Linked DNA regions of Mytilus edulis. The protein of the gene in region 2 purifies or fractionates together with the protein of the main gene of each other region. This does not show direct contact. Links are inferred from orthologs where the notes say so. Each region holds a gene or a part of one and is shown on either strand. Other genes may lie near its edges. The genes, in order: histone deacetylase 3-like, retinoblastoma-associated protein-like, lysine-specific demethylase 5A-like and prohibitin 1-like.

Region 1 (7,495 bases), on a different chromosome or scaffold from region 2:
ATTAGAAGGAATATAAATTTAAAACTTTGCAAATGTGTTTTTTATGTTAAGATGAACATAATTAGATGATAAGTAAAAAATCGCGGAATTTCCCTTTAATGTACATGAACACTAAAAATGTCACATTAAGTATATATATGATAAGTCATCAATTAAAAAAAACCAACATAATTATTGTAGTGGTCATTTTTTTTTTAAATTTTTTTAAATATTGCTTTATGTAGTTTAAAAGCTATCTATTCATGAATTTTACAGATATATCAAAATGTGGGATCTGGAAACAAACTTCACACAGCTTATATCAATCATATTTGATTTTATAAGTACATGATCCCTGTGATGAGAGTTGTAACTGGGAACTTAATCAATGAATAATTAAAACTGAATAGATTTTTCAGTCCTCACTTTCTTGAGAATACTGTCACAAAAAATTGAGAATGGTCTTAGCCTGCCGTTCAGTTGTACATAATTAAAATTCTAAAATATATTGTAGTAGTTGTTAAATTCAATTGAATTTTAGATAATTAACTCCCAACTTTAATCAAATGTTTTGATTTAGAAGGTGCAGATCTCATTGGTCCAAATTGTCTCTATGATGAATTCTTGACTAAGGAAATGAAATAACAATAAACAACAATTAGTTTCATTATTGTATTAACATCGTGACATCATACTCTTTCTAATCCTTTCTGTATATCCTTTCCAAATAACAACATTTATACCTGTGTACGCTTGAACTCACACCTGCGGCTAAATAGCTACAAGGTAAACGAATTGACCTCAAGCCGAGAATATACAGTGACCTATACAAAATAATATAAACACTCTGCTCACACATTAGTTGCATTGAAATGATTATCAAAACAATAACGGTAAATAGAACTGAAATATTTTCAGTTCAATATCAGTAAAAATGTTCAATAAATATTTTATGAAAAAAATCTCAACAATAATTAATTAAATTTATTCAAAAACATTTACTAGAGATAATTTTATAGGAGTTTAATTCAATCAATACAAAACGGTATATGCATATTCATGTTCGTTCATTCTTATATTGTGGTTAATAACTTCGACCATTCGTCAGCTGTGCGCTTTTAATTACGTATATTGTCGATAAGCTATAAGAGTTAAACAGATTTTATTTTTTCCCAGAATTCAATAAATCGGGCTAATACGTCACGACCCACTCGAGAATTCAACCCAAAAATGTATCGTCAAAAACATATTAGTAAAAAATTACCGAACTCCAATTAAATTAAAAATGGTGAAGCCCATAAAACCTGACGACATCAAACGTTAGTATTTATCACCATTGGAACGATTTGGAAAACAACTATTTTATTTCTGATTTTCGTTAACAAACAGTGGGTAAAATCTGGTTTTATAGCTAGATAAACCAACCTCTTGGCTGGCAACTCGTATTACAGTTGTTAATAGTTCGGTTATATTTACGTGTCAGTTTGGTCTCTTGTGGACAGTTGTTTCATTGGCAATCATACCACATCTTCTTTTTTTATGAGTAACTAAAACAGACATAATTGGTTAACATGACAATAATTGGGATCCAGCATCAAACACTGCGTAAACATTCACCACAGACAAATAGCACAACTGACAACAATAAATCAACACTGTGTAAACATTCACCACAGACAAACAACACAACTGACAACAATAAATCAACACTGTGTAAACGTTCACCACAGACAAACAACACAACTAAAAACAATAAATCAACACTGTGTAAACATTCACCACAGACAAACAACACAACTAAAAACAATAAATCAACACTGTGTAAACATTCACCACAGACAAACAACACAACTGACAACAATAAATAAACACTGTGTAAACATTCACCACAGACAAACAACACAACTGTCATCAATAAATCATCACTGTGTAAACATTCACCACAGACAAACAACACTACTGTCATCAATAAATCATCACTGTGTAAACATTCACCACAGACAAACAACACTACTGACAACAATAAATCAACACTGTGTAAACATTCACCACAGATAAACAACACAACTGACAACAATAAATCAACACTGTGTAAACATTCACCACAGACAAACAACACAACTGACAACAATAAATCAACACTGTATAAACATTCACCACAGGCAAACAACACAACTGACAACAATTAATTAAACAAACATAAAAAAAATCTAAAATGAGACGCCAACAAAAAAAGTTGATATAACTGATAGTATTAAATCTGACAAAGACGCCAACAAAATAATTGTGTGTAGTTGATAGTACATATATTAAATGTGTAGTTGATAGTACATATATTAAAACTTCATGTCGTTCTAGTATGAGTCACATTCTCGAAGAAGTACAAATTAAGTTAAACCAATAAAAGGATAAACAAAATGACTAACTAACATGACTAATGCCGAAACCTTGACTGGAAATTATTGTCCACTAGTAGTGGTATCGACAGTGTAGATCTATGTAAAACGTTTTGTGTTTGAATATGTTCTTTTGTTCTTTTTTTCTTGGATATTAAGATAACATCCAATAACATACATATTTCGAAGACTAAACAAGTGTGGGCACAGATCAGTGTGGATTGTGTTTGGATGGTTGACAGTGTTTTCTGACAAAAAGAGTTCTATGGTTCTAAGACCAAAATATCAATCAGTGCACATCCAAATTCTAATGGAATCAGTGTTAATAAAACGTCATTAAATCTATATTTTTGTTTCAGGACAAACTAATCTATTTTGGCTAAAGCTGGGACTTTTATACCACCAATATATTATCACCCAGGTCATAGATGTCCATGGATACAAAATTAAACTAATATTAAAATTCAAAAACTCAAAATCTTGTAATAAATTGTCTTCAAAAGTGACATGTTGAATACTATTTTATTTTAAAACATTACGTGAATTGTTGATTTTTTAAAAACAAATCATGTAAACTCTTCAATATCCAAATAGACAATTTTGTAACATTGGCTATCGGATAAAAGAGAATGAAGGGTGGTGGCAAAATTATATTGTCTGGGGTCTCTTGCAGAAGCAACAAATGAAAAACATCAAAATGGTTGAGAACTTTATACTTTTAATCAATACAGCTACCAAAGTGCAGTTCGTGTTATACTTGATAAAACCAAGCCGACCAACTCTACAACAAAGAAGTCGTGCATCAGTCACAATATTTGACAAAATTTAGAATCAACTAGTTTCAATCTAAAACACGCATTATCTGTCACCTTGTGGGTATCAATTTATACAATCATTATATTCAACACACTTCCTTACTCTTTGAGGCTTTTTGTAATGCTTTATTGACGGTCCCGATTCCGTCGTAATAGCATGACCATATAAGAAAGAGATCATGCATATCTAGTTTATGAAAATTCACAGAAAAAATCCCCAAAAAACGTAGCATGAAAAAGGTCACAGGAAAACTTGCCTCAGTAGATAAAGTTAAAATGATAAAGAATCAAAAGAGAATAGTAATTCTATTTTAAGTTTTTATGTTAGCTTTATATTGAAATCATGCAATGGTATTTAAAAAGAGACATCTTTATTTTTTAATTCAACATTTTCCTTTCTTTTTATACAATGCCGTATTTTTACCACTTAGACAAACCAATAGATAAAAGATAATTCATAAGTTGAACAAACATTTAACTTCAAAAGTGTGGGGAGGGGGGTCAGATACTATTATTTTTATCTGAGTCAGAAATATTTGTTTTAGTTTCTCGACACTACACATATTTTTTTTTTATTTTCCACTCTATGGTGTGGAGAAAATCTGAATTCAGAATATTTTTCTTTGTCATCTGCTTGACAACAATATTTTGTTTCATCAAATCAGAGGGGATCAGAAAAACTTCTTTTTTTTATAGTTAAATGGTCGTTTCTAACTCACAACCATTGAAATTAGACAAAATATTGACCACCAGTGTCTATCCGTATAGTCAACTTAACTCAGTTCGCAGCCGTCTGTCAGCTATTCTACTGAAACATGCATAATCTGTTTTAATGACATGGCCTTTTTTAAGGCAGTGGCTATTTTGCCGGCTCTGATTAAAATGTCTTAATGCAAGCCGACAATTTAAAATAGCCTATTTCTATAGAATTTCAAGTGCTATTTTACCGGAAACAGCAATATAGTGAAAATGTTGCTTAGCTCATGTAGGTTAATATATATATGCTTAGCTGTCGCAAGGATTTGTATAGTTAGATATGTACAAATCCTTGGCTGTCGTAAATACCGTAATGTTTTTTTCCAAAATAATTATATCGATTTTTTTTTATCTACCTGCTCATTGGTAAAATTAAATAGTCTACTTATAAAAATCCTTTTTACATAGTCTTAAGTTACTTAACTCTACAAACCCTCCGTAAAATTAGCCTCATGTCAAATAATTCTTGTACGTGGTTGTCTATGTTACGACGTTACTCTTCGGTAATGAGTCAAATCAAATGCTAACCTCTTTGGTAAAGAAGATAAATAAATGATATGTAGAAAAAGAAGAATGCAAAATGTCAAACCCAAATATTGCATATTTTTACGACCCAGATGTCGGCAATTTTCATTATGGTACGATTAATGCACACCCTAAGTATAGGCTTTATTGCAAAAATGGGTTTGGTGAAAATTATGGCCATCTTCCCATTGTTATTTATGAATCCGGGTCCGTCCGCCCTGATTTCGGTTCGCCCTAGTTACTGTTCGCCCTAGTTCCGTTTCGCCCTGAGACCGTTCGCCCTGATACCTGTTCGTCCTGATTTTTATTTTTTTATTTTAAGGCGTATTTGTTACAGAAAAACTGGTTTTAGTTTAAGGTTTTGGTTGGTAAGCGGAAGAAGGGATCCCGTAGACCGCCCTACGTCACGATTCGTGAATTATGCATATTCTATTTATAGGCTATTTTAAAACGATTCGGTAAATACTAATGCTAAAAATAGAATTTTCTTAACATGTAAAACTATCTTCAAAAAAAAACGATGCAAAATCATTAACTTTCATGGAGAGTGGTAAAGGGTTATTTTCGTGGAACGTGATCGCGTTTTTTTATTTCACGTTCAACGTGTTTTTACTTTTTTATTACACGTTCAGTCGTGCAAAACAGCTAGGTGTTCAACTTGTTCTTCTTATGTAATTTTTATACGTGCTTCGTGATTCAAATGCTTATTTTGCGTGCTCAGTATTTTTCAAAAAAAAAAAAAAAAAATCAAACACCAGACAGGGATCGTCAACATGGTCAGGAACGAAATTGATTTATGTTTAAACATATTTATTTATAGTGGATTGGGAAACAAGTTTTGCAACTTATATTAGTCCCTTTCCACTTTGCGGCTGTGAGTTCTGCCTTGTAGCGTAAGCATAAGCCTACTCTTTTTCGAAATCTACAAGGGTGTCTTTAACGTGCAAGAGATATGGCTCTCTCTTAACACGGGTCAGCCATTTATCGTCCCCTTCCGACGGACTATCATCGTTTCCTCAAGACCATACTCGCAAATGGTGTCGAGGGAGAGCCGAAAATTGAGTTCCTGAAAAATTTCATCCCAAACGGGAATCGAACCAGGAACCTTAAGTGTTATTAGTCCGATGCACTAACCAAAACACCACGGCTCTCTACAAATTGATTTAATTTTGTTTCCGTGAAATGATAAGGCGGCAAGGCCAATGATGTTCCTTTATTTGCATTTTAAAAGTTCAGAATATCTTTATATACTTTTTTAAAAGCTGTAAATCATTTATATCATAAATGTGTACACACTAAATAGGGAATGTTAAGTAAAACAGAGAGTTCATATATACAAGAGGACAGTGACTCAGTCACAAAAGGTTCACCTTCAAGTCTTTATTTTTTGTGCAACGTTCATGACAGAAATTATTTCACGTTCAACGTGAAATGGTGTCTTAAATAGGAAAATGTTCCGCATTACAGTAGCATATATCATTGTGCCCTCATTAAGCAAATACATATTCCTTTTAAGATATATATGATATTTCACATATATATGACACACAGTAGTGGTGCCTTAATTATGTTGTAAAGACTTGCAAATGTCCCATGCACGTGATCCCATGGCTTTGAATATACTATGGAGTTAATAATATTTTTATTATCTGCTTAATAGAGTACTTTGATGTAGGCAAATTGAAAAAAAACATGTAGCTTACACGTTCTTAGACATGAGACATTTCCTTTACGGGGTGTGAGGGGGTGGTGGTAGTGGTGGTGGGGTGGGGTGCTGGTCTTCGTTTCCCCTGTTAATTGTTTATAATGAAGCTACATGTTCTATTAGGGCGTTCTACAGGATCTTCTGGGCGGTCTACATGATCCCCTGTTGTCTGAACCTTATATTTTTACTATAGAACGTTCTTTAGGATCTCCCATATTGTTTGTTTATCATGTATATACCAAAGGACGTTCTACAGGATCACCTGGGCAGTCTATAGGATCCCCTGTTGTATGAACATTATATATAAACTATAGAACGTTCTATAGGATACTCTATTGTTTGTTAATCAAATATATACTAAAGGATGTTTTACAGGATCCTTTGGGCGGTCTTCAGGATCCCTTGTTGTCTGAACATTATATATCTACTAAAGGACGTTCTATAAGACCCCCTGTTGATTGTTTTTCATGTTTATACTATAGGGCGTTCTACAGGATCCCCTGTTGTCTTTACATTATATATCTACTATAGGACGTTCTACAGGATCCCCTGGGCGGTCTACAGGATCCCCTGTTGTCTTTACATTTTATATCTACTATAGGACGTTCTATAGGATCCCCTATATTGTTTGTTTATTATTTATATACTAAGGGCGTTATACCGGATCCCCTGGGCGGCCTACAGAATCCCCTTTTGTTAAAAAAAATATGCATCTGAGATAGGAAATTTAATAGGTTCCCTGTTCTTTGTTTATTACGTATATATTATAGGGCGTTTATGATCCCTTGGGCGGTCTGCAGGAGCCCCTGTTTTCTCAACATTATATATATATCATAGGACGTTATTTAGGATCCCCTATTGTTTGTTAATCATGTATATACTAAAGGGCGTTCTACAGGATCCCTTGGGCAGTCTACGGGATACCTGTTGTCTTTACATTATATATATACTATAGGACGTTCGTAAGACCCCCTGTTGATTGTTTTCATGTTTATACTATAGGGTTTTCTATATGATCCCTTGGGCGGTCTGCAGGAAACTATGGGTGGTCTGCAGGAATCTCTGTTTTTCAAAATAATATATGTACTATAGGATGTTCTATAAGACCCCCTGTTGATTGTTTTTCATATTATAATATAAGGCGTTCTAAAGGATCACCTGTTTTCTCAACGTTATTTATCTACTATAAGACGTTCTATAGGATCCCCTATTGTTTGTTAATCAAGTATATACTAAAGGGCGTTCTACAGGATCCCCTGGACGGTCTTCAGGATCCCCTGTTGTCTTTACATTATATATATACTAAATGGCGTTGTATA
Region 2 (7,768 bases):
TGCCTGGTAAATGCAGCATGCCAATAGGTCAGACTTTGATATTTCCTACAACAGAAGAAATTAAAGTAACATGAAGACTATACATATATCAAACTTGTACTATTCATTAAGATGTTTCAATGTCCATTTAGTGTACACTAAGAAAGAAAAAATATCATTTAGAGGTGCTGCATCTAAAGTGCTTTTCTTAATTAATCTCAACCGGGAACGCTAAAGTCATAAATATCAAAGCTAAGGATGTATATATAGTTACTTGAGAAATTGTGCTTTTTTCTCTTCATACAGTTGTGCATACTATTTCATGGCCATCATGTATACAATTGCATTTTACTTTGAATACATAACCACAAAATTTGAACTTCCTGACCTCTCACCAATCCATTACAAAATAAATCAAGTGCCTGTGCCTTCCATCCCAAACCCCACCCATCATCACACTGTTATCACTACCTTTAGATCAGCAGTTACTTTCTCCACAATCTGCCAGTAGTCCCAAGCTTTATTCCGAACATCTTTACTCAACTTCAGTTTGTTGCTCAAATTCTCAAAATTGGTGTCAACTGTAACTATGGTTTCTACTGTTTCTGGAATTTCCTGTTCTCTGAAAAATAGTATACTTGTAAAAAGCAATTTTAATCAATTCTTCTTCTACTTGGTTAAGAGTCAGTCTTCGTATCGACAATTGAGAGTCATTGACTCGGGTCATCTCAAACTTAATTATCTTAACTATATAGCTTTTAAATATATACATACAAAGTTTTTTTTTTCGAACATAATCAAAACAAATGCACTTATGTTTCAGAAAATTAAAACTGTTTCTGAATTTTGATGTGTCTATTTTTTGTTCCAATATACAATGTATCTATAATACTAAAATAACGAGGTCCAATTTGTCAGCCATCGTGGGATAAAAACAACAAATCAAAGAATTCAACTTTATATATAGCTAATATAGGACAATGGTGTAGATTAAAAATTACACCACTCCAGACCCTTTTGTTTTCCACATAATTAACAAGTTCTGGGTCGAATCCAATACCGATACCAATAGTATATTCACCTGTTACCTATTACCTTATCTGTACATTTCACATCTGACAGGCACACTACCAAACAGTGTATTTAGGATTTTGCTATATACACGGGTCATAATCACAGGGTTGACACTACTAAATTCAATCATTGTCAAATTGTTCCCTATTGTAGTATTTTAATCAGTAAGATTTTCTAAGATAACAATACAAATACTGAAAATCTAGACTTAAAATAAGGCATATAGGTACAGTTTTCAATTTGAAGAATTTGAATTTAAAAGAATTCAACTTTATTTATAACTATATATAGCTAATATAGGATAATGCTGTTGATTAAAAACTACTCCATTCCAGGACCTTTTGTTTTCCAAATAATTAATATTACCAATAATTGATAAGCTCCAGGTCGACGGGTTCAAACAGAAAGATTTTGAAAGCAGAGAAAACTGCATATCTTATAATCATTTTGATAATCGACATGACTTTTATCAGATGACAATACGAATACTAAAATATGGCTTACGCATAGTTATATACTTTAATTCAGTCACGGGTGTGTTCTAGTATATTATAATGTTCTTCTCATATATTTTATGATGGTATAATACTGAACCCCTAACGAGAAGGGTTGTGCTTGATATTCATATGATGAAGACATAATCTTTCAATCAGTTTAATTGAGGTCTGGAGCTGGCATGTCAGTAACTGCTAATAGTCCTTAGTTAATTTATGTATTATAGACATTTTGTTTAGTTTCTTTTGATACCTATTCTGACATCAGACTCTGACCTCTCTTAAACTGAGTTTTACTATGCGTATTGTTGTGCGTTTGTTTTTTCTTCATTGGCTAGAGGTACAATGTATAGGGGGAGGGTTGAGATCTAAAAAAACATGTTTAACCGTGCCACATTTTTTTGCGCCTATCCCAAGTCAGGAGCCTCTAGCCATGCCTTTGTTAGTCTTGTATGATTTTTAATTTTAGTTTCTTGTGTATGATTCGGAATTTAGTATGACGTCCGTTATCACTGAATTAGTAACATATATGTTAGGAGCCAGCTGAAGGACTCCTCCGGGTGTGGGAGTTTTCCTTTGATAGGGAAGTTGACAATCCTAGTCAATAAAGATTGGATTTGAGTGCTCCTGCACGAGCGGGGTTCGAACTCACAACCTCAGTGATGACTGGCTTGTGATTACAGAAGTAACAACTTAGACCACTCTGCCACAGAGGCCACCCCCTCCCCCCCAAATCAGAATGAGAAACAATGAGAAATAGCAGTGGTAAACTGGACCCCTGATGTATTTACTTTACACTATCGATCTTCATCTCATGGGTTTTCGCACTATTATTATTAAGAAGGCATTGTGACGTCACAATTTCCATTGAAAAAGCATGCTTTAGTATGAATTCATATGACATACAAAAACATTTATATTAACATGATTAATAATATAATCTGACAATACACTAAAGTTAGTGCAAGCAATTGGGATTCTTGCCTTCTTCCACCATAATAAGTCTTCTTGGTGCACTGCTAGTGCTAATCCCTTGTTGTTGGAGATTGTCCTGTCGGTATTAAATAAGTTATCCCGAAAGGATTCCTCTATAGACATGTAGACTTTACACTAGCAGATCTGGAGGAGTGATACGGCTAACACCATTTACAATGTATAATTACTCTAAATAAAGGTGACTTAAAAGAATAAAGGGGAAAGCAATCTAGTAGAACAAAACTAAAAGCGATGTAGCTGTCCCCTCCCACTTCTCCAAAAATAATTTTATTTGACCATATCCATAACAGGTGCATATGCAATTCTTCAGCCCTAAAAAATTCTGGAACTAATACTTACTTCGAAGACCGCGACATGTTACGTGTAGTTATTATTCCAATTTACTTTATAATGTTTTTGTTGATCAGTTTGTTGATACACATGTTATTGTTTTGATGAAAGAAATCCCGCGATTTTTTTGTGTCAATTTTTTTGATTGGTTGATATTTTAAAGGTCAAAGTTGAAAAAATGTTACTGGCGCCAATTTATAAATAGTTCAATCATTCTTAGCGTGATTTACGTATTTGATATTTTCTGCCTATAACAATTAAAATAATTATAATGATCAAGATAGCAAGTCAAATCACTATTTATAGAGATATTTTAAAATTCACCTCATTTGAACTTTGGTGGATAGTTTTCACCAGACACATGTGCCTCTGTTTTCACACTTCTTCAGACACATTTGTTTTATCAATATATCTTTAATAGTATAATAGTCCCAGATTATATGTCTCTTGTATTTTTAATGAGGTGGCTGACTAAAAAAAATTGTATTGCCTTTTTCTTTAGTTGTAATCTCTGTCCTGCGTTTTTATATCATTCTTTTCCATCCTGCTTTTTTATTATTAGTTTGTCTTTATAGGAATTGTAAATATGCAATTTCTTGGTTTATCTAGTCCAAACAATTATGATGCATTGAAAGGCTATATTTTTTTCTTTGACGCCTTACAAGGTGTCAAAGCTAAAATCGATGAAAAAAACTTTCCTCAACGTCATAATTAATTGGACTAGAGTTTATCCTAATGAGGCTAATCTTTTTTTTACATAAATTGTCATCCTGCCATCTTCTTTTTGGAAAGTACAAAAAATGTATCTTATCCTGCTTTTTTTTTTAACTCAAAACTACCGTCCTGACTTTAAAAAAAAAATCATCACTAGCTCCTAAATTCTCACCTAAACAGAGTATAAAATAGTTATGGACTTTGCCAAATAGCTTTTGACCAAGTCCCACATCGCTTTATGTTAACTAAAACTGGATCTCTACCTTTTTACAAAACCACACACAAACAGTAGTCCTTGACAAGAGTCATCAGATGTTGCTTCAGTTACTTTTGGTGTCCCACAGGTTCTGGGTCCTGTTCTATTTCTGGTATATATATAAATGACCTACCAGAATATTTGAAATGACTGTCAGCATCATATACAAAAGTATCAAATCTAACAAAAGATTGTAATAGCCTTCAGAAAGATATTGATGCTGTTGCAAAGTGGGATGACTTTTCATCCTGACTGTAATATCTGCTATTATTCCGGGAACGTCACACACAAACCTTCGGGACATTTACTTGTTACGTAACGTCGCTACGGCAATACCGATTGTATATTTTGTAGCCATTATTAAATTACTATCTGAACCATCAAGTCTTACTCCGATCTTTCACTGACAAATGTACATTTCTCACAGCTTCTAACGAGAAAACTCCCATCAAACATAACTACATTCTTCACAGTCATACCTTAGAATCTGACTCAACAAAAATCTTGGCATTACTCTTCAATATGATTTAAAATGGATGCTGTTCAGAAAAAAATACTATTGATCTGTGTTTTGTAATAAACATTGAGTACACAAAAATTATAGCAATTTGAATTCCTAACCAGAAGACCATCTTTCCAATGTATAGTTATCTAGAAAGTCCAATTAATCTAATTCACTGGAATCAAACACAATACCACCATCTCATTCAGCATGCAAAAGGGTGTACATGTGACGTCATATGTACAAAAATACTTTCTCTTTGATTTTTTTTTTCATTTGTCATTTCTAGGCTTTTTAAAGCTGACTATGCGATATGGGTTGCTCTCATTGTAAAGAAGGTTAAACGGTAACCTATAGTTGTTATTTGGTCTCTGTTGGAGAGTTGTCTCATTCTGAATCATACCACATTTTTTATTAAAGTTCACAGTAAATAAACTACAGAGAGAACAAGAACAATAGCTATTGAATTAATTTAATGGGACAATAAAACTAACAAAAGTTAAAATGTATTGACCAATAGGAGATGACTCTGTTGAAAAGTTTCATTTGGTTCACAATAACTACTGTTCTATTTAAAGTAAGATCAGCCATATTGGTGTGTAACATGATAGTTCTGACACATGAAAACTTGAGGATGGTTATGTTAAAGATTAGTTTTTATTAGCAGGGTATTGTCAGACGAGAATATTACAGAAATTGTTATTGCAAGCTGACAAACATGATGACCAGTGGATGCCATGTAACAAGAAATGCCATAGGACTATGTTAGTTTAAGAGCTGACAAACATGATGGCCAGTGGATGCCATGTAAAAAGATATGCCATAGGACTATGTTAGTTTAAGAGCTGACAAACATGATGGCCAGTGGATGCCATGTAACAAGATATGCCATAGGACTATGTTAGTTTAAGAGCTGACAAACATGATGGCCAGTGGATGCCATGTAAAAAGATATGCCATAGGACTATGTTAGTTTAAGAGCTGACAAACATGATGGCCAGTGGATGCCATGTAACAAGATATGCCATAGGACTATGTTAGTTTAAGATAAACAATCTAACCCATAAACATATCACAAAAATAAATGCCATTTTAATTAAAGAAATACAAACATTTAGACAATGGTAGTTTTATTCAAAACAACCTTTGATTATATGAAAAATTTAGTTGACAAAGTGCACTTCTAATTCCTTTGAAATATAAATGCATTTTAAAAATTCAAAGATGCAGCTCTGGATACACGATAAATATTTCCAGAAGTGCATACATATACATGTAAATTCTTTCTATGATAATGCTAAAGCACATAAAGCCTATTTTCCATTTCTAAGCAATATTCTGAACATTATATTTTATCATGAGAAGCAGTCTTATTACAAATCAAATAGAATATTTTTGAAGTAACTTATATTCAATTCAGTATCTTGTAAAACAGGCTACTAATCTATGAGAAGCTGCAAAATCATTTAATATTTAAATTGATGTCAATTTTTATGATAATTGTTGTGTGGTATAAATGAGTATATACAAATGTTGACCAGAAATGTTATAAGATGTACATATTTACAAATTATGATAAATAACAGGTTTTCAGTTTGGTTTTATATATCTAATGACAGATATTTAAATTTGACACTGTTCTGTAATGACAACTAATTGCACACAAATCACTAATTCAACAAATGTTCATCCTCATAAAAACCAAGGTCAAGGTTTAGACTTTCTTCATTAAAATGACATGATTGTCACATTTCTTCTTCAGATTATTTCACTATCAATGTTTTCCTTGAGAACTGATTGATTGTAACACCCAGGTTTTCTTAACATGCCCAATTAGTCATTTATAACTGATACCTTATTTTGTGGACAGTATGTTCATACAACAAAGCATATAAATAAATTAATTATATATCAGTCTCTATATTTATTTTTCTTGTGTTTATGTCGATGTCTGCTAGGACTTCTGGATGTTGACCTTTTCCTTGGAGTTCGTGACCTTGATCTTGACTTTCTTGATCTTTTGGGACTACAATGAAATGGAGAAGTAATGTATTTAGATGGTTCAGATCACAATATAACATCATCACAATCTATTGACAAGCATTCTTGAAGTATTCATGTATAATCATTTTTGTTTATGTTAAATGTAAGTGAATTGTTTGGGTTATTTGGTAATGTACATTCTGTCAATTACACCATATACATCCAAATATTACTTATATTTTTGCTTTTAACTGCACTGTTAAAGATAGTGTGAACATCTTTAATTCAATATGATAAATAGTTTATATTTATTTCTATGAACCAATATAATTTAGTCTGATAACTGGTTGATTTTTTTTATAATCCTACCATTAATTTTTAATTTTGACTTGAGCATCCAATATATAGAATATATTCAAATGTTAACTAATCATTGTGAAGTTATGTAATTTGGTTGTTGATGGTTATGCTGTTTCTCAAATATGATGCATAAAAGAAAGTTGAAAACCATTTTTTTCACTCAACAGAGATTTATCATTGTTTCCTATAAGATACAACATAAAGGAAGGGACTACACAATATTACATTAATGAAATACAATCAAAGCGCTGTAAGCGCTGAAGGCAGTTAACCAAAAACCAAGGCAACCGTAATTATGAAAACTGTGGCAATGTTGCCTCAACATTAAACATTCATATATAGTACATTCATGTTTATCTAATGATTTATTTATTAAGGCTAATAATTTATATGTTATCAAGGTTTCAAAAGCAATGCATATATCAATGTATATTTTTTAATGGTGAGTCTGCAGTGGTACAAGTTCCCAATGATTGCAGTTGTTCTATTTGGTAGTTAACCTTGGTTTTATTTGACTGCTAGAAGTTCAAGTTGACTTAGTATGAACATGTAATAGTATGAATGGACTGGTTTCCCTGAAAAGAAAACTGAGTTTGTGTTCTATAGTACAAAAGTTATGAGACACGAATCAGACAAATGTTCACTACAACAGGGATCAAAGGTGAGGTCTGACTGACCTGCCCATAGTAAATGTAAATGATTTGTTATTTTGTCCCATACATATGAATATATATAATTTAGGGGTGGGGATCTCAACGGTTTTCAAGTTCTCAAACAGGTAGGGGTAGGAAGAGGATTTAGGGGGGCAGGGGGCCCGCCCCCCCTTTTTGGGAAAAAAATTGGTTGCTTATATAGGGAATCACTGAAGCGTGCCCCCACTTATGAAAATTTCTGGATCCGCCACTGGGGGTAGGGTGACCCTAGGGACTTCCCCTACATTTCATTTTATTTGTTATATTGTCCCATACATGAATATATATGGTTTAGGGGTCGGGATCTCATTGGTTTCCAAGTTCTCAAACAGGAGGGGTAGGGTGACCCCAGGGACTCCATCTATATTTCATTTAATTAGTTATATTG
Region 3 (7,984 bases), on a different chromosome or scaffold from region 2:
TACAGATTGAATTCAAAATATTAAGATAATGGCGACTTAAATTTGCCTAAAAGATCCATGTATGCAATAATTTAACAATTGTTTAAACTATCACATGGGTCAAAAGATTGATTGATATTTGGTGTTTTAACCCCACTTTTGGGGTATTTCATGGCGGCCACTTTTTATTGTTGGAGGAAGCCAGGTTTGCCCAGAGAAAACCACTGACCTTTGATGACCTCTTTGATAGGAAAACTGACAATCCTTATCAATTAAGATTGGAGTTGAGCACACCTGCATGAGCGGGGTTTGTACTCACAACCTCAGTGTTGGCTGTCTAGTGATTACAATAGTACAACTTCTTACACCACTTGGCCACAGAGGCCCCCTGGACCATAAGAAAAATCCCATGTTTGTTAACTGAAACCTTCTGATAAAAAGTAGGGCCAGAACCGGTCAGGGAAGGTTGGCAAATTTCTTTTTCTTTATTTGATCTACAAACCCTTATATATAGTATTATCCAGCAACGGAATCAGATCAGGCATTGCCTTAATGTATATTTACAGCTTCAATACCGGCCCTATGTTGAAGTTTTGTTTTTTGGGGGTTTACACAACACTATATTTATCTTGGTGTCAGCCATTTTTTGGGGTTGAAAATTCAAAACATATGTTTCATAACATACTGGGGTCAAAAGTCTTATTTTGATCATGTGATCTCTCCATTCATGAAAACATGGACATCAATGAAAAGATTGATGTTTATAGTGAAGTAACAAGAAGAAAATAGATAAAAAGTATGTCTTACCTTATATAATGTATATAAATCCACAAGTTTCCTATCCACATGAGGTATTTTTAAAGAACAACCCTGCAAAAAAAACAATCTTCTATGATCAATAATAGCATATATTTACAATGTACACTTTAAGTCAGTCCCTTATTTCACACAATTTCTAAAACAATGCAATGTCTGATGAAAAAGGAAATAAAGTAAGATCTGGCACAGTGCTAACATGTTGTGAAAAAAAGGGGGAACCTTCTTTCTTATTTCAAATTGTTGATTAACAAATCCTTCAAAATCAACATTTAAGATTATAATGAATTAAATAATAAGAGAATCATTCTTACCTGTAGCTCCCAGAACTTTGCAAGCTGGTCCAAAAAGTTCAGCTTCATTCGAGAAGTGGCCTGAAAAGGATAAATATAATCATTATTATATAGAATCAATAAAAGAATATAAAATTCACATAAATTAACAATAAATCAAGTTACTGTAAATTTTTCATTTATTTTTTTCATTAAAACAGTTTATAAACGAAAATAAGCAACAAGAAGTATAAGATTATAAAGTGTTGCCCATTTTGAGCCCCAATATACTTACATCAAGTTCATTTAATCTTTGTATTCTGGGAGTGAATGTGAATTTCTCGACATCAACAGCAAAAGGTGGTTGCCAGTCCTAAATGAACGAAAGAATGGACATTAGAATACACCTATTTGATATATTAGAAATATTTAATATTTTTCTTACAAGCTGATAATGGCTACCTTTAGTCTCTGGCTTGGCAGCCATATTGGTTGAAATATTTTATGTAGTTCCTTCTTCATAGGGAATTTTACAGTATATCATATCTAACATTTTTCATCATTTTATTCATAATGAGATGAAATTCAATAAAAAATAATCATTCGCAACCTCTTTTTCTCAACAAAATTATTTTTTGAGTAAAACTGCAAGATCTTGCTTGACCTGCAACTTTTTTATTTTTGTCTCACAAAAATATATGGAAAGTATAAGATGAGTGTTTAGAGCTGACAGCAACCATCTTTTTTCAATTTCAGCCTTTGAAAATGATATTTAGATAAAATCTGTAGTAAGACATGTAGATCAGATGTAAATAAGTCAACAGTCAAAGGTTATGAACAATCTTTAAATTGCATCCAGGATTTTCTTTTCTCATTAATTTATTTCACCTAGTGTTTTTATATGAATGTATAAGAAAAAAAGACAATTAACTTGATAAATAACACTTTAAAATCATTATACTTGTAAATTTCTGCCTTTTTTTTTGCTAAAATCTATATGAAATTATAACCTATAATTAATTAAACGATTAACCCTGGAGTAAAATTGAAATGTGAAAATACAAACTGTTTTTTTTTTATTTATGCTTCATCTAATCATAATATGAAGTAATCTAAAAAGAATTATATTGTAAAACACAGACAAATTTGCTAATTATGTAGTGATTATATGAATTTTTTATACAAAAATACTCTTTAAAAAGTTGAAATCTTAATAATCATAATAAAAGACACAGAGTCATTAAATTACGAGACACTAGTACATCCTTTGCATCATATAAGGCAAAAGGCCTCAAGTAGGAAACAGAAACAAGAGGCCCAGCTTTTCTCTTTGTTTCATAACTTTATTTTCAGAAACTTTTAACATGTTTAAAAAACATTTTGTAAACACATACTTCATGAGTTGTATTTTTTTCATATAGACTATTCATTTTATCAAACATATAACTATAATTTTAAGTTATTATATAGCTGGTGCTAATGTATGACAGATCTGAACAAAAGGCGTCGCCATGTTTGGGAAAATAACTTGCACGTATGATCACGTATTACCATGCAGAATTCATTCAACACTTTCAGGGGAAATACACACAATGGCAATTAGAAATTATTCAACAATAGTGAAAAGTAAATGATATTATAAAGTAATAACAGACCGGTGGTGGTTTAATTTTGCATAATCCAATTTTTTCTGCAATCGGTCTTATTTTGGCGATGTATCCCAACGGATCGGCAAACTCCTCCTCAGTTGGAGTAAATACCGGTGCCTCTGGAGGACGCCTGAAGCTTGGACAAGAATTGTCAACCATGCTGCAAGCCAACGGCAGACACTTCCAATTCAAAAACGACCCAGAGGGTCTAATATAACGCGACCAAAATATAGTAGTAGAATCCCTAAAACACAAAATCCAGTATGTGTGGAGAGGTGCCGAAGAACATACTTATTCTAAATATGGGAAGTACAATGTAGTTCTAATTAAAGTATCTTTTAATGTACCAAAATGAACGAATGTTTTTCCACAACCATAATTTAGCATATAAAATAAAAACTTTAAAGGGACTAGCATAAATTAAACATGTATTAATATTTTTTTCCAAAATGTTTATTTCCAATGTTTTCACACTTGTCAGTGCGTATGAATTTAATCAAACAAATTTTTGATTGGTTAGAGTAGACTGGTTCGCCTGTCTAGATCAATGTGCATATTACATATTTCATATATCAAGACAGGTAGGGTATAACGCCATCTTTTTATTTGAAATCGAGGTTGTTCTAAATTTAAAAATATTGACGTCATCAAAATAGGAAAGCCGGTGTTTTCTCCCGGCATGCATTTGTAAATGACAACAATAAACAATATGGCAGCAGACGATGTGAAAGATTTTAAAGAAAAACTTAAGAATGTCTTGATACATAAAATTGCCTTAACTAAGATCAACTGTACGCGAAACGTTAATTTAACCTACTTGAAACCTTTGCAATTGCAAAGTATTCAAGGTGCAATGAAAAGTGATGCGTTGATCATGCTACCCACTGGCTATGGGAAGTCATTAATTTTTGAAATGCTTGGAAAAATGAATAACACCAAATGCATAATAATCAGCCCCTTAAATGCCATTATTGAAGAGCAGACAAGAAAGCTGGGTAGAAAGGCTGTTAATGTTAATTCAGCGCTAATAAATAGTCTTGAAGGTATTTGTAATATTCATTCATTCCATTCTTGACTGCAGTGTCATTGAGACACTTTTTAATTTTAGGGAAACTCAAGTATGAAACAGATAAACAGAGACACCAAAAATATTCATACAGATATATGTTTGATATTATTGTTATAAATACCAATAGATATAAATAAATGATATTATATTTAAATTGTGTTCCAGTTTTGCAGAATATTAAACATGTTGCAGTACAGAAAAGCTAACTTGGAAAACATCAAACAAGATGTGAACAAACTCACACAAGAAATCAAAGGTCATTACCATAGTTCATCTACTGACGAACTATGGAATACATTTACAGAAAGACTACTTCAATCAGTCAAGAAAAACATCCCCCAGAAAACAATCACAAACAAGAAAAAACTACCCTGGGTTGATAAAACATTAAAAATCATGATAAACAAAGTTAAAAGACTACATAAAAAGAGCAAAAACAGTCCAGAGCAAATGAAAAAATACAAATACTTAAAAAGAACATTACAAAAAGAAATGCGTAATGCCTACTGGAATAACATTGAAAAAATGATATTTGACCTACCAGTAGATGAACCAGATGACAACATCAGGAAAAAACAACCTAAGAACTTGTTTACATACATAAAAAGTATGAAAAATGACAATACAGGCATTGCTGCACTTAGAAAAGATGGTAAACTTACTGACAATACATCTGACAAAACTAACATTCTAAATAGTCAGTTTCAAAAAGCATTTTCCGAAGAAACAACAAGTGAACCCATTCCGGATAAAGGAAAATCGAACTATCCAAAAATGAACAAGATCACCATCTCTAAGAAAGGTGTCATAAAATTACTGGACAAGATCAATCCTAACAAAGCAACTGGTCCAGATCAAATTTGCGGAACAGTACTCAAAGAACTTAGTAGTGACATTTCAACCGCAATCACCTACATCTTCCAAAAATCACTCGACACAGGAAAAATCCCAAAAGATTGGAAACATGCAAATGTCTGTCCTGTTTTTAAAAAAGGTGATAAACACAACGCAATAAATTATAGACCCATATCTCTCACATGCATACTTTGTAAGATCATGGAACACATAATAGCCAGTAGTATGATGGACCACCTAGAAAATAACAATATTTTGTACGACCTTCAACACGGATTTCGAGCAAATAGATCATGCGAAACCCAACTAGTATCCTTCATCCAAGAACTAGCAAAAAATAACAACAGTAACATCCAAACGGACATAATTGTGATGGACTTTGCCAAAGCCTTTGACAAAGTTCCTCACAAAAGACTCCTCTACAAACTAAAACATTATGGCATTGATGACAACACCTTAAAATGGATAGAAGATTTTCTCACATCTCGGACACAAACAGTGATCATTGATGGTGTTCAGTCAGACAAAATAAATGTAACATCTGGTGTTCCCCAAGGAACAGTTTTGGGTCCGATCCTTTTCCTTGTATACATAAACGACTTTAACGAATACATCAAACACAGTACCCTCAGATTATTTGCAGATGATAGCATAATTTATAAAACAATACGAAACAAAGAAGACACACAAAAACTGCAAGAAGATCTCACATCAGCTGCAAAATGGGAGAAGGACTGGCTCATGTCATTCCATCCAGACAAGTGCTCAGTCCTTCAGATAACAACTAAGAAAAACCCATTAAATTTTGACTATACTCTCCACCAACATGTACTTCAAAAAGAAACATCCACAAAATATCTGGGAATAACTATACAAACTGATCTCAAATGGAACAAACATGTAAACAATATCACAGCTGCAGCCACACAAAAGCTGAACTTTATTAAAAGGAATCTAAAAGTCAACTCAAAAACAGTCAAAGAAAAAGCATACATTGCACTAGTAAGACCAAAGCTAGAATACAGCAGCTGCGTCTGGGACCCGCACACCAAATCTCAAACACACCAACTTGAGATGGTCCAGCGCAGAGCAGCAAGGTACACCTGCAACAGATACCATAACACCAGCTCAGTCACTGAAATGCTACAAACTCTAAATTGGGCAACACTTGAGAAAAGGCGAATTAGAACCCGCATCATTTTCCTCTACAAAATTATACATCATCTTGTTGCCATATATCCGACAGACCTACTTACACAATCTGATACAAGAACACGACAACATTCACATATTTACTCTTTCAGACCCATACAAACCACTAAAGACTCATACAAGTATTCATTCTACCCTAGAACCATCTTGCAATGGAACCTTCTCCCAGTAGCTGCAGTTCAATGTACTACTCTTGAAAGCTTCCGAGAACAGATTCCAATATCTGTTCTCAATAAACATCTTAACATTTAAATAAATTCTACAATGTATATAGTTTTAACCAAAATGTATAGTACAAAAACAGAAGAAAAAGAAGTTATAAATGTTGAAATTTTTATTTTTATTTTTGTATTTTTCACTGTAAATAAAATGTATATCCCACGCACGCGCGGCATAGTAAAATCAGTGCCCGGCACGTTATCATCAGTATGTTGATGGAGTGCTGAATTATAAAGAAGAAGAAGAAGAAGAACAAATTATATTTATAAATGTATATTTATTTGTTCTTCAACAGAAAATATGTTGTGTAAGGGAACAACCATTTCATGGTGGGGGGTGAAATAAATAACTAAAAAAGAAGATGTGGTAATTGATTGCCAATGAGACAACTATCCAAAAGAGACCAAAATGACACAGACATTAACAACTATAGGTCACCATACAGCCTTCAACAATGAGCAAAGCCCATACTGCATAGTCACCTATAAAAGGCCCCTATATGACAATGTAAAATTATTCAAAACAAGAAAACTAACGGCCTTACATTATTTGTATAAAAAAATGAATGAAAATCTAATATGTAACACAAACAAACGACAACCACTGAATTACAGGCTCCTGACTTGGGACAGGCAAATACATATATAATGTGTTGAGTTAAACATGTTGGCAGAATCCCCCTCCCCTAACATGGGGCTGCCTTGATGATCACAAAAATAAATGGTTTGTTCTGTGGTAATTTGTAAAAACTAATCTGACTTGCAATGTTTTACTATTGAAAATAAATAACTCAGCAGGTCTTTTAAGCCATTTCATAAATGCTATTCATAGTTTGATACTTTGAGAGGGCACCAGATTATTTATAATATTCATCTTTTTAAAAAAAAAATCTGCAAAAAATTCCCATATCTTTTATTTAAAAAAGAATAAATATTAATTAGATACAATTGAAATGTCTGCATTGAAGGGAAAGGGGGGGGGGGGGGGGGGGGGGGGGGGGGGGGGGTAGGAGGGGTTGTGATCCCCAAATCCTGGACTTAAAAAACATGAAATCCTGAAGTCCAAAATCAAAACAAATCATAATCATGAAATTTTGAAAAAAGAATTCCTTTATCCTGAAAGGGTCAATCCCATAATCATGAGCTTACAAACACTAAACACCTGATCCTGGATTCTTTTTTGCATACCTTTTAGTTTTATATTATATAGCTAATATAAAATTACAACTTTTCAACTACTAAAAATTGTATCCAAGTTTATAGGAGCTACATCAAATTGTAATTGAAATGTGTTATAAAAACTTACTTGACATAGTTATATCAATGATATTCAGCCCCTCTTGACTTATTTGAATTTTTTTTTAATAATTTACAGGTATAAAAGATTAAAATTATGCAAGCTGAAACAGTCACACACACAAAAAAAAAAGGAAAACCCAGTGGCCACATGCTGAACTATGTGAATTACATTTTTGCTTTATCCTAAATATTTTTCTTTAGATGTTGTCCCTAGAAACTAAAGTCTTACACAGATTCTATACATTTTGCTTTGAGTCCAAAATATAAACAATTTTGAAACAGAACACATTCAAGCTTTCAGATTAAGACAGGGTCTGGGAAACACTCAGAAAGCATGATTCCTTCGTTTATTATTTTTAGCCTCGCTACACTTTGCAGAAAAATGTTTCGGCAATACTTTTTAAAATAGGCTAGTGACTTGTATTGATAGTTGCCTCATTGGACCTCTTACTACATCTTATGTATAATAAGTTCAAGTACTGTTGCATGACACATTTAACCTGGCAACAATGAGTTGGGTGGTGCCCAATGATACCCCTGCCATTATGGCAGATAATACAGATTCTTGATATAATCTGGGGGACCAGGAACCGTTGATGTGCTTATTGCTTTATA
Region 4 (7,612 bases), on a different chromosome or scaffold from region 2:
CTCCCCTCATATAATCAATGTTGTGAGTAGTATTGATTTAAATGGACAATAGATGGACAATAGACACCTGTAAACAATAGGTGATTTAACAGGTTTAAACTGTGTAACTGAGTGGACCGTATCAAATGAAACTCGGGTGTTTGTTTATTTTGCTATCTTCTGCAGACTGGAAAAAAATGAACATCAAAATCCAGGTAAGTTTTTAATTTTCTGAAACATAGACTTCATATAACTTTTATATATCTAGTTCCTGCCATGCCTTAAAACTTTCCTGGATGTACCAGTTTGTCTGTACTCATAGTAATTTTGGAGGTGTAAACACGGCCATATTTTTCAATTCCTTATGATGAACCTTAATCTTGACAAAATATAAAATGAAGCAGCAACAGAAATAATAAAGATAAAAAGAGGCACCTTGAGGATACTGTACCACAAACCATCACTAAAAACTAACATTTCAAATCAGAACATGATGCCAGATTGACAATATAATGGCAGTGTTCATAAAAAAAGATATAGAAGGATTTTAAGTTTATCAAAGTGTACAGATACTTTCAATATAAATTATCAGTGTCATCCTAATGGTCATAGAAAGGAGGGAACTACAAAAGAAAAGGTACATGGTTTTCGAATCAAGAGTTATTTCCCCTACAAAACCTAAATATACACGTGTATAATTTTCTCAATTAAAAACAAACTTTTTAAATGTTTTGTGTACTCCTTCGTTAACACATTTAAACAATAACAAGTACATTCATTTACACATGGGATATTTAACGTCATATAAGAAAGTCTAGTTTCTTTTGTGGCGCAAGATGGCCTGATAGCGTCCCCAACATTTTATTCACTTTCAAATTGCAGTTTGACAGTAAATTACATTCAAAAAGGGTTAATAGCAGTTGACCAAAATACACAATGAAGATGTTATCGTTAACTTACCACTCAAATTTTGGTCTAGTCGCCTAAACTTTGTTATTTTCGATTTCAGTTCTCAACCACGTTTTGCATCATACAGCCACGCATGCGCCCAAAAGACCGGTCTGTTTCCGTCTATGAACTAAGTAAATGCAAAAACAAATGTCGGAAACTGATCTGTAATGTTAACGTATTATAAAAGGGCACCTGTTACACCAAGATTTTGTTTACTGTCACTGACAAATCCTTTGTTACACCCAGACCTGCCAACTTTTAAAAATCTCCATGGGGGATTTAGTGCGCGACCATATTTTTAAGGGACAATTTTTGCGGCGTTTCTGTGTGCACTGTTTTTTACTCTTAAAATAGTCTCATGTCTCTTCTTTTTTCTTTTGGTATACTGATGATGATCTTATAAGCCTTGATTTCTTTAATTGGCATGATTCTTGTACTTATTTTAAAATTGACAAAATAACTTAAGAATAGAGAAAAATGGCATTAAAAAAATAAAGGATACTTAGTGAAAACCCCTTTTTCCCCTCCAAAAACCTTATCTTTTGGACCATGACTCAAAAGACATAAACCTATATGTCCTAAAGTTAGAAGGATAAATACAGATTTTGATTAAGTCTATCAGTATTAATGAGAAAATGGATAAAAGTTGAGTTATCTTTCTTTGTGTTCGGAGGTGCTCTTACCGGCGGAGGTTTATTCACAGTAGAAGAATACAAAATGGCGTCGATTTTAAATCAACAGACACATGTCTGATTTCAAAAATTAAATGGATTTCAAGATAAACAATGTTTTTTTAAGAGTTCAATACAGTTCTCATCTTTAAGTTAATTACGATTTCGTTGTGGAACTACGGTAAACGTTGCAAATTGTGCTCGTATGATAAATTGATTAAAAATGAAAGGCCAACTGACCGACTTTCTGTTTACAAATAATAATATTAATTAATATTGAGGATTGTTATGACCAATCAGGTAATCCAATTACTTGCAACAACAAATTATGACACCTGTTGTGACCGTTGATTAGCGTAGTATTGTAAACTTGTCATAATATGTCCCCAGGTAAAATTATAGATTATCAGAAAAACTTCAAAATCGGACACCAAATAATTTTTTCGGGTATATTTTGTGAAAATCGGGATTTTGACTTGTTTTAGAATCCCGATATCGGGATTCGGGTTGAGGGATGAAAATCGGGATGATACCGCGAAAATCGGGATAGTTGGCAGGTCTGTACACCTAATCTGTTAACTTTTCTCTTTTTTTTACTTTTCAAAATAACGCTTAGACTTTTAAAAATTATAATTTAAATGAATCAGGCATGTTTCATTACATGGCGAATAGTTTATTCAATATATGTTTCGAAAAAGTTATTTTGACGAACCTCGTTAAAATTTTAATCTATTTGAAGCTAACAGCAGCCGAAAATGACCGTTTGACGTTTGCCGTTTGATACGTTTCCCTCAGTTTTAGTTTGTAACCCGGATTTATTTTTTCTCTATCGATTTATGAATTTCGAACAGCGGTATACTAGCTGTTGCCTTTATAATTAACCATTTGTAATATATCTATGAAAATTTGAAACTCACTATTGAAAGGGTAATAGATCGTAATAATGCCCTATACCGTCAGGCGTCAAACGGCCATTTTCGGCTACCGTTAGCGTGAAATTTCCGTGATTCGTCAAAATATCCTTATCGTGATTCGTCAGAGGTCTCAAATAATTATCGTTACCGTTATTTGTGGAAAAAAATAACGTGAAAATCATTCCATTTTTTTGGGTCTAAAATTAAGAAAGTGCATAATTTATCGTCATGCACCAAAAATTACCGTTAACGTCATTTGGCAAGAATTTTTTACCGTTATTCGTCATGAAGGTACCCCCATTACCACCCTCTATTAGTAATACTTTAAATTCCTTTCTATACAAAACCATTTCAGTCATAAATTTGAAAATGTGCATGCTGCATGCTGCATGCTTGTGTGCTATTTCTAATAGTGTAATAATTCGATTAAAAAATATTTTCAAAGCCAGTATTTTATAGTGAGGCATTATCATGAACAGAATTTCATAGTGAAATATTGTCCAGAAGGAGGTGACAAAATTTCATGGAGAAAGTCACTATTTCATTATGAAATACTGTCAGTGGACAATATTCTATATGAACTTTTGTCCGATAGACAATATTTCATGGGGGACATGTACAATATTTTAGGTTACAAAATCGGCATGTGGTAATATCGGATGCTCCTAACACGCACTGCTCCATATATGACACTCATGTCATGATGATCATTTTAAGTCTCGCTCAGTTATGTCCAAATCGAGGAAAATAGGTCGGGAGATTGGTAATTCGTTAACGAGCTTCGAATACTCCCGATTCCAAAACGTTTGACAAACCACTATTTATGCAATCTATAGCTATTCCTGGGAGTAGAAAGTCGTTTATAATTCAGTCAGTGAACAATTCAGAGTGTAGAAATTGTTAACATTTGATTGATAAGAAATATGGCCACATCAATGGTAATTAATAGGTGCATCCTTGGCGCTATTTTGCCGACTCCGGCAAAATAACTTTATTTATAAATAGTTTTGCTATTTTGCCGGTTTTAAGATCAAGACTTAGAAGTATACAGATTAAGAATAGAAAAAATATAGAAATATACACTTGGAAAAGAAACCTTATACAAATAAGTCTTCTATAGCACATTTATATATACAAAGCGTCCATATAAAAGTTTATATTCTTTATTTTAATTAGAAGTCTCTAAAACATGTCTTTTTTAAAACATTTTAAAAGCATACATACTAAAACTGATACTAGTTTTCTTTTCTTTAAAAGGAAGTCTGTAAACAATCTGTATTGAAATAGAAGATATGCATTGTTTACTACTTACTAAACATGCAAACCCATATGAAAAATGATAACTCTAATTCTTTTATTGATAAGCATATCATATTAGTTTTTATATAAAAATTCAACAACATCAAAATGCTTTACAAGATAAACATAAATATCGTGTGTACATATGATTTAATGAGCCAGGTCACTATAAGTGAATACACCAGACCTAGGACCCAGGATGCAAGGCGAAAACAGAGTAATTGATCACATCTAGCAACACATATCATTTATGCATAAATAGTTTCAATAAATTTGGATTTCATATATAGTCATATTAAAATCGGAGATAAGACCAGCAAAATAGTAAAACTCTATATAGATCGCTATTTTGCCGGAGCTGGCAAAATATCCACTGCCTAATTTATATCAGAGACATGTAATACGTGACAAAAACAGAAGTCATTACTAACTGCTGGTAGTGTGAACCACTATTTGACCGTGATTTGTCGTGCAGTTTATATATCCAAAGTTTTAAGAAGAAGTCAAAATACATCTAGTTCATATATGTAATAAGCTTGAATGTGATGTTTGTATGGATTTATACTTACCTGAGATATGTTCTATTCTTGAATCTTTTAATTATGAATAGGATCACATTTTTTTGAATATTCTAAAAGTATTTGTCTATATCCTCTAGATAGGTTTTTTTGTCATGGTTAATCATACTACATTAATTTCTTTTTTTTTAAATAAATTGTGGCAAATTACCAAATTACTTCTAAAAAAAACACCCTTCATCCGTATTTAAAACAGGTTCGTATCCGTCGTCCGGTAAAAGTTTTATAAAATATCCGGTTTTCATAGCATGCTGCCTTGACCAAAAAAAGTTGACCTTTCTTGGATTTTATCATCCTTTTTTATTCAGAGTGTGTGACAACAACATTTTTGAGCAATATATTCTTTCTTAACCACCACAAACGCCATAAACAATGTCTTTTCTAAGTAAAATTGGATATCTAGGCCTTGGTGTTGCTCTAGTCGGTGGAGTCGCTCAGACAGCATTATACAACGGTAAACTTCATCTTTTTGAAAACCTTATTTCGTCTTGTCGAAGATGAGTTTGACGTACTAAGATATTGTGTATATGTTAAATTTGACTGACCGTAGATTTGAGATTCGTAATTTAATTTCTAAAATGTTACACAATTATGTAATCAGCTGCACAGCCACAGGTCTAGAAGTCATGTGGGTTCAATAATCGATTCAGTGCCAGTGGTCCTTATTGACCTTCATATTTCAATTTTATTTTAGTATAGTAGAAACAATACTGGCTCTCAGAGGTAAAAATTAACAACAATTGAAATGCATGTGAACTCAAAACAAGGTTGCAGTAAAGTAGGTCATTGACATTGTTCTGGCTTTGATTTCATCACCAGACCTATAACTTACATCAGGTGCAAGACAACTAGTCACTGAGATAAAATGTGCTGATTTCAAAGAAAAGACAACTCAGAACATCTTTTAATTATAAAAAAGAAGATGTAGTATGATTTAAAAGTCATAGTCCGCTATAAAAGTCATCTTGGACCGTCAATACGTAAACTCTGACCATCTATACAATCGACTTGGACAAAGTTATATTTAGTATAAATAGGAAAGATTTGACTACATAAATGAGTTTCTTACATGAACCAAACTTTTTCTCAGAAGTTGGGCTGTCATAATCACATGATAACTCAAAGACTTTAAACAATGATTAGACAAATCAGACTGTGTATCACAACTTTTAGACAATGTTGTTTGATCAGGTTTTATTTAGTACCCAGTTGTCTCTAGGCTGAGTTGTCCTGCATTGTTAACATCATGACATGCATGATTTTTTTTAAGGTTTTCAATATTAAAATCAAATTTTTTATTGGTTAAAGAACACGTATATATATCACAATGATAGAAAATGTATTCTTTTCTATTTTTTCAGTTGATGGTGGTCATAGAGCAGTTATATTTGACAGATTCAGAGGAGTACAAGACATAGTTTCTGGAGAAGGGACACATTTTTTGATACCATGGGTACAGAAACCAATCATATTTGACATTCGATCAAGACCAAGAAGTGTTCCTGTTGTTACAGGAAGCAAAGGTAGGAAAATTTTCCATTGATAATAATATACAACGGAAACTATCGAAAAAACTATTCGTTTGTGATAACTACTAACTACCAGTGGCGGATCCAGAACTTTTCCTAAGGGGGGCCCGCTGACTGACCTAAGGGGGGGGCCCTCTCCAGTCATGCTTCAATGATTCCCTATATAACCAAATTTTTCCCACAAAAGGGGGGGCCCCACCCCTGGATCCGCCTATGACTACAGGATGTAGCTGATTAACTTGATTGTGTTTAAATCAGATGCCTGGTAGATAAAATAATTTTAAAACATCCTAGTACATTATCATGATTATGTTTTGCTTATATTTAAAGGGGTTATGGCATGGGGTATATAATAAATCATTGAGATAGCAATCCATAAGAAATAAAATATACATTTATTAGGGCAACATTATTTTCATTTAGTCTTCAATGATAGCATGATTTCAACTTGTTATCAGAAGGGTAAAAAACAAAGAATATTGAATTGTTTTCTTTTAAAGGAATGTTTCAGCCTCTGCTGCAGGGGAGGGGGTATTAAGTTATATCCTTGTCTGTCTGTTCGTGGTCCATACATCAGTTTGTCTCAAAATTGGCTTTGTTTTTTTGTTCTGAAAAACAAATGTTAAGAAACTCATACACAATGCCTAAATTACATGTACCTCAAAACTCAGATCAAGTAAAAATTTGGGTAGAGTCGCTTTTACAGAACTTTCTTGAGTTGACACATTTCCCGTATATTTATCGTGTTTATATCATGCATATTATTTGCTTATTTTCCCAATTTTGTTAGTATACAAAATCTTTGCACTTTTCTATATGATGGTTTTTGAGAAATCAAAGAATAATCATTTTATGTTTTCAGATTTACAGAACGTTAATGTCACATTGAGAATTTTATTCAGACCAAAGGCTGATGCCCTCCCAAATATATACACAAATGTTGGTCTTGATTACGATGAAAGAATTCTTCCATCCATCACAAATGAAGTCTTAAAGGCTGTAGTGGTGAGTAAATTTGATTAGAGATGCAGCGTCTCTTGTTAACATCAAAAGTATGTGTTTGATTTCACCAGAGCTATCCTATTTCCTACCGGAAAATCACTACACAAATGAACGTCTTGAAATATATTGTCTATTAAAATTAGAAAAATGCAAAGTTATAGTATTGTAAAACAGAAAGAGAGAAAGTTAATGTTAAAAGTCAAGCACACATCTGAAAACTGTTTCCGGAATATGAAACTACCTGGCATACCCTTACCCTTATTCCTTCTGCCATATTCCATTTGGCTGTATTGAAGTAATAATATCTCCAAGATAGACAATTTGATAAACTCAATGGGTAAAAAAATGTAATCTGAAACAAAAATCCCTTTTCTACTGATAATTTTATTTGCATGTTCCTCATTCAACATGTTCAATGATTGCGGTTGACTCAAAAATCTAAATTAAGCACAAACACATTTATTTAATATTTACATTTTTTTCAAATTGTCAATACATTGTTAATTGTTAAATGTAGCCTTGAAAGAACAGAAAATAAAACCCTACCAATCTGAATAAATATAAAGTAAATCTGTATAAGAAGATATGGCATGTATGGTATGAGTGCCAATGAGACAACTCTCCATCTAAGTCACAATTTGTAAAAGGTCAAAGTACAGTCTTCAACATAAAGCCTTGGCTCACATCAA

What was found.
Region 1: the proteins of retinoblastoma-associated protein-like (region 2) and histone deacetylase 3-like purify together in Homo sapiens (affinity purification with western blotting; 3 studies listed by BioGRID). This does not show direct contact. The link is inferred for Mytilus edulis from reciprocal best matches to the Homo sapiens genes RB1 and HDAC3.
Region 3: the proteins of retinoblastoma-associated protein-like (region 2) and lysine-specific demethylase 5A-like purify together in Homo sapiens (affinity purification with western blotting; 4 studies listed by BioGRID and IntAct, with this or other methods). This does not show direct contact. The link is inferred for Mytilus edulis from reciprocal best matches to the Homo sapiens genes RB1 and KDM5A.
Region 4: the proteins of retinoblastoma-associated protein-like (region 2) and prohibitin 1-like purify together in Homo sapiens (affinity purification with western blotting; 3 studies listed by BioGRID). This does not show direct contact. The link is inferred for Mytilus edulis from reciprocal best matches to the Homo sapiens genes RB1 and PHB1.

What each region holds. Positions count from the first base shown.
Region 1 is NC_092344.1:34,971,157-34,978,651, forward strand, and holds the start of histone deacetylase 3-like, read left to right. Parts: upstream 1-4,476; 5' UTR 4,477-4,526; coding exon 4,527-4,584; intron 4,585-7,495. UniProt on the Homo sapiens protein: Histone deacetylase that catalyzes the deacetylation of lysine residues on the N-terminal part of the core histones (H2A, H2B, H3 and H4), and some other non-histone substrates.
Region 2 is NC_092346.1:87,036,153-87,043,920, forward strand, and holds the start of retinoblastoma-associated protein-like, read right to left. Parts: upstream 3,005-7,768; 5' UTR 2,900-3,004; coding exon 2,883-2,899; intron 602-2,882; coding exon 451-601; intron 46-450; coding exon 1-45. Other genes in the region: U2 snRNP-associated SURP motif-containing protein-like, read right to left, coding at 6,257-6,371. UniProt on the Homo sapiens protein: Tumor suppressor that is a key regulator of the G1/S transition of the cell cycle. The hypophosphorylated form binds transcription regulators of the E2F family, preventing transcription of E2F-responsive genes.
Region 3 is NC_092344.1:46,177,147-46,185,130, reverse strand, and holds the start of lysine-specific demethylase 5A-like, read right to left. Parts: upstream 3,021-7,984; 5' UTR 2,876-3,020; coding exon 2,723-2,875; intron 1,441-2,722; coding exon 1,363-1,440; intron 1,170-1,362; coding exon 1,110-1,169; intron 850-1,109; coding exon 787-849; intron 1-786. UniProt on the Homo sapiens protein: Histone demethylase that specifically demethylates 'Lys-4' of histone H3, thereby playing a central role in histone code. Does not demethylate histone H3 'Lys-9', H3 'Lys-27', H3 'Lys-36', H3 'Lys-79' or H4 'Lys-20'.
Region 4 is NC_092357.1:67,337,052-67,344,663, forward strand, and holds the start of prohibitin 1-like, read left to right. Parts: upstream 1-4,605; 5' UTR 4,606-4,764; coding exon 4,765-4,846; intron 4,847-5,753; coding exon 5,754-5,915; intron 5,916-6,783; coding exon 6,784-6,926; intron 6,927-7,612.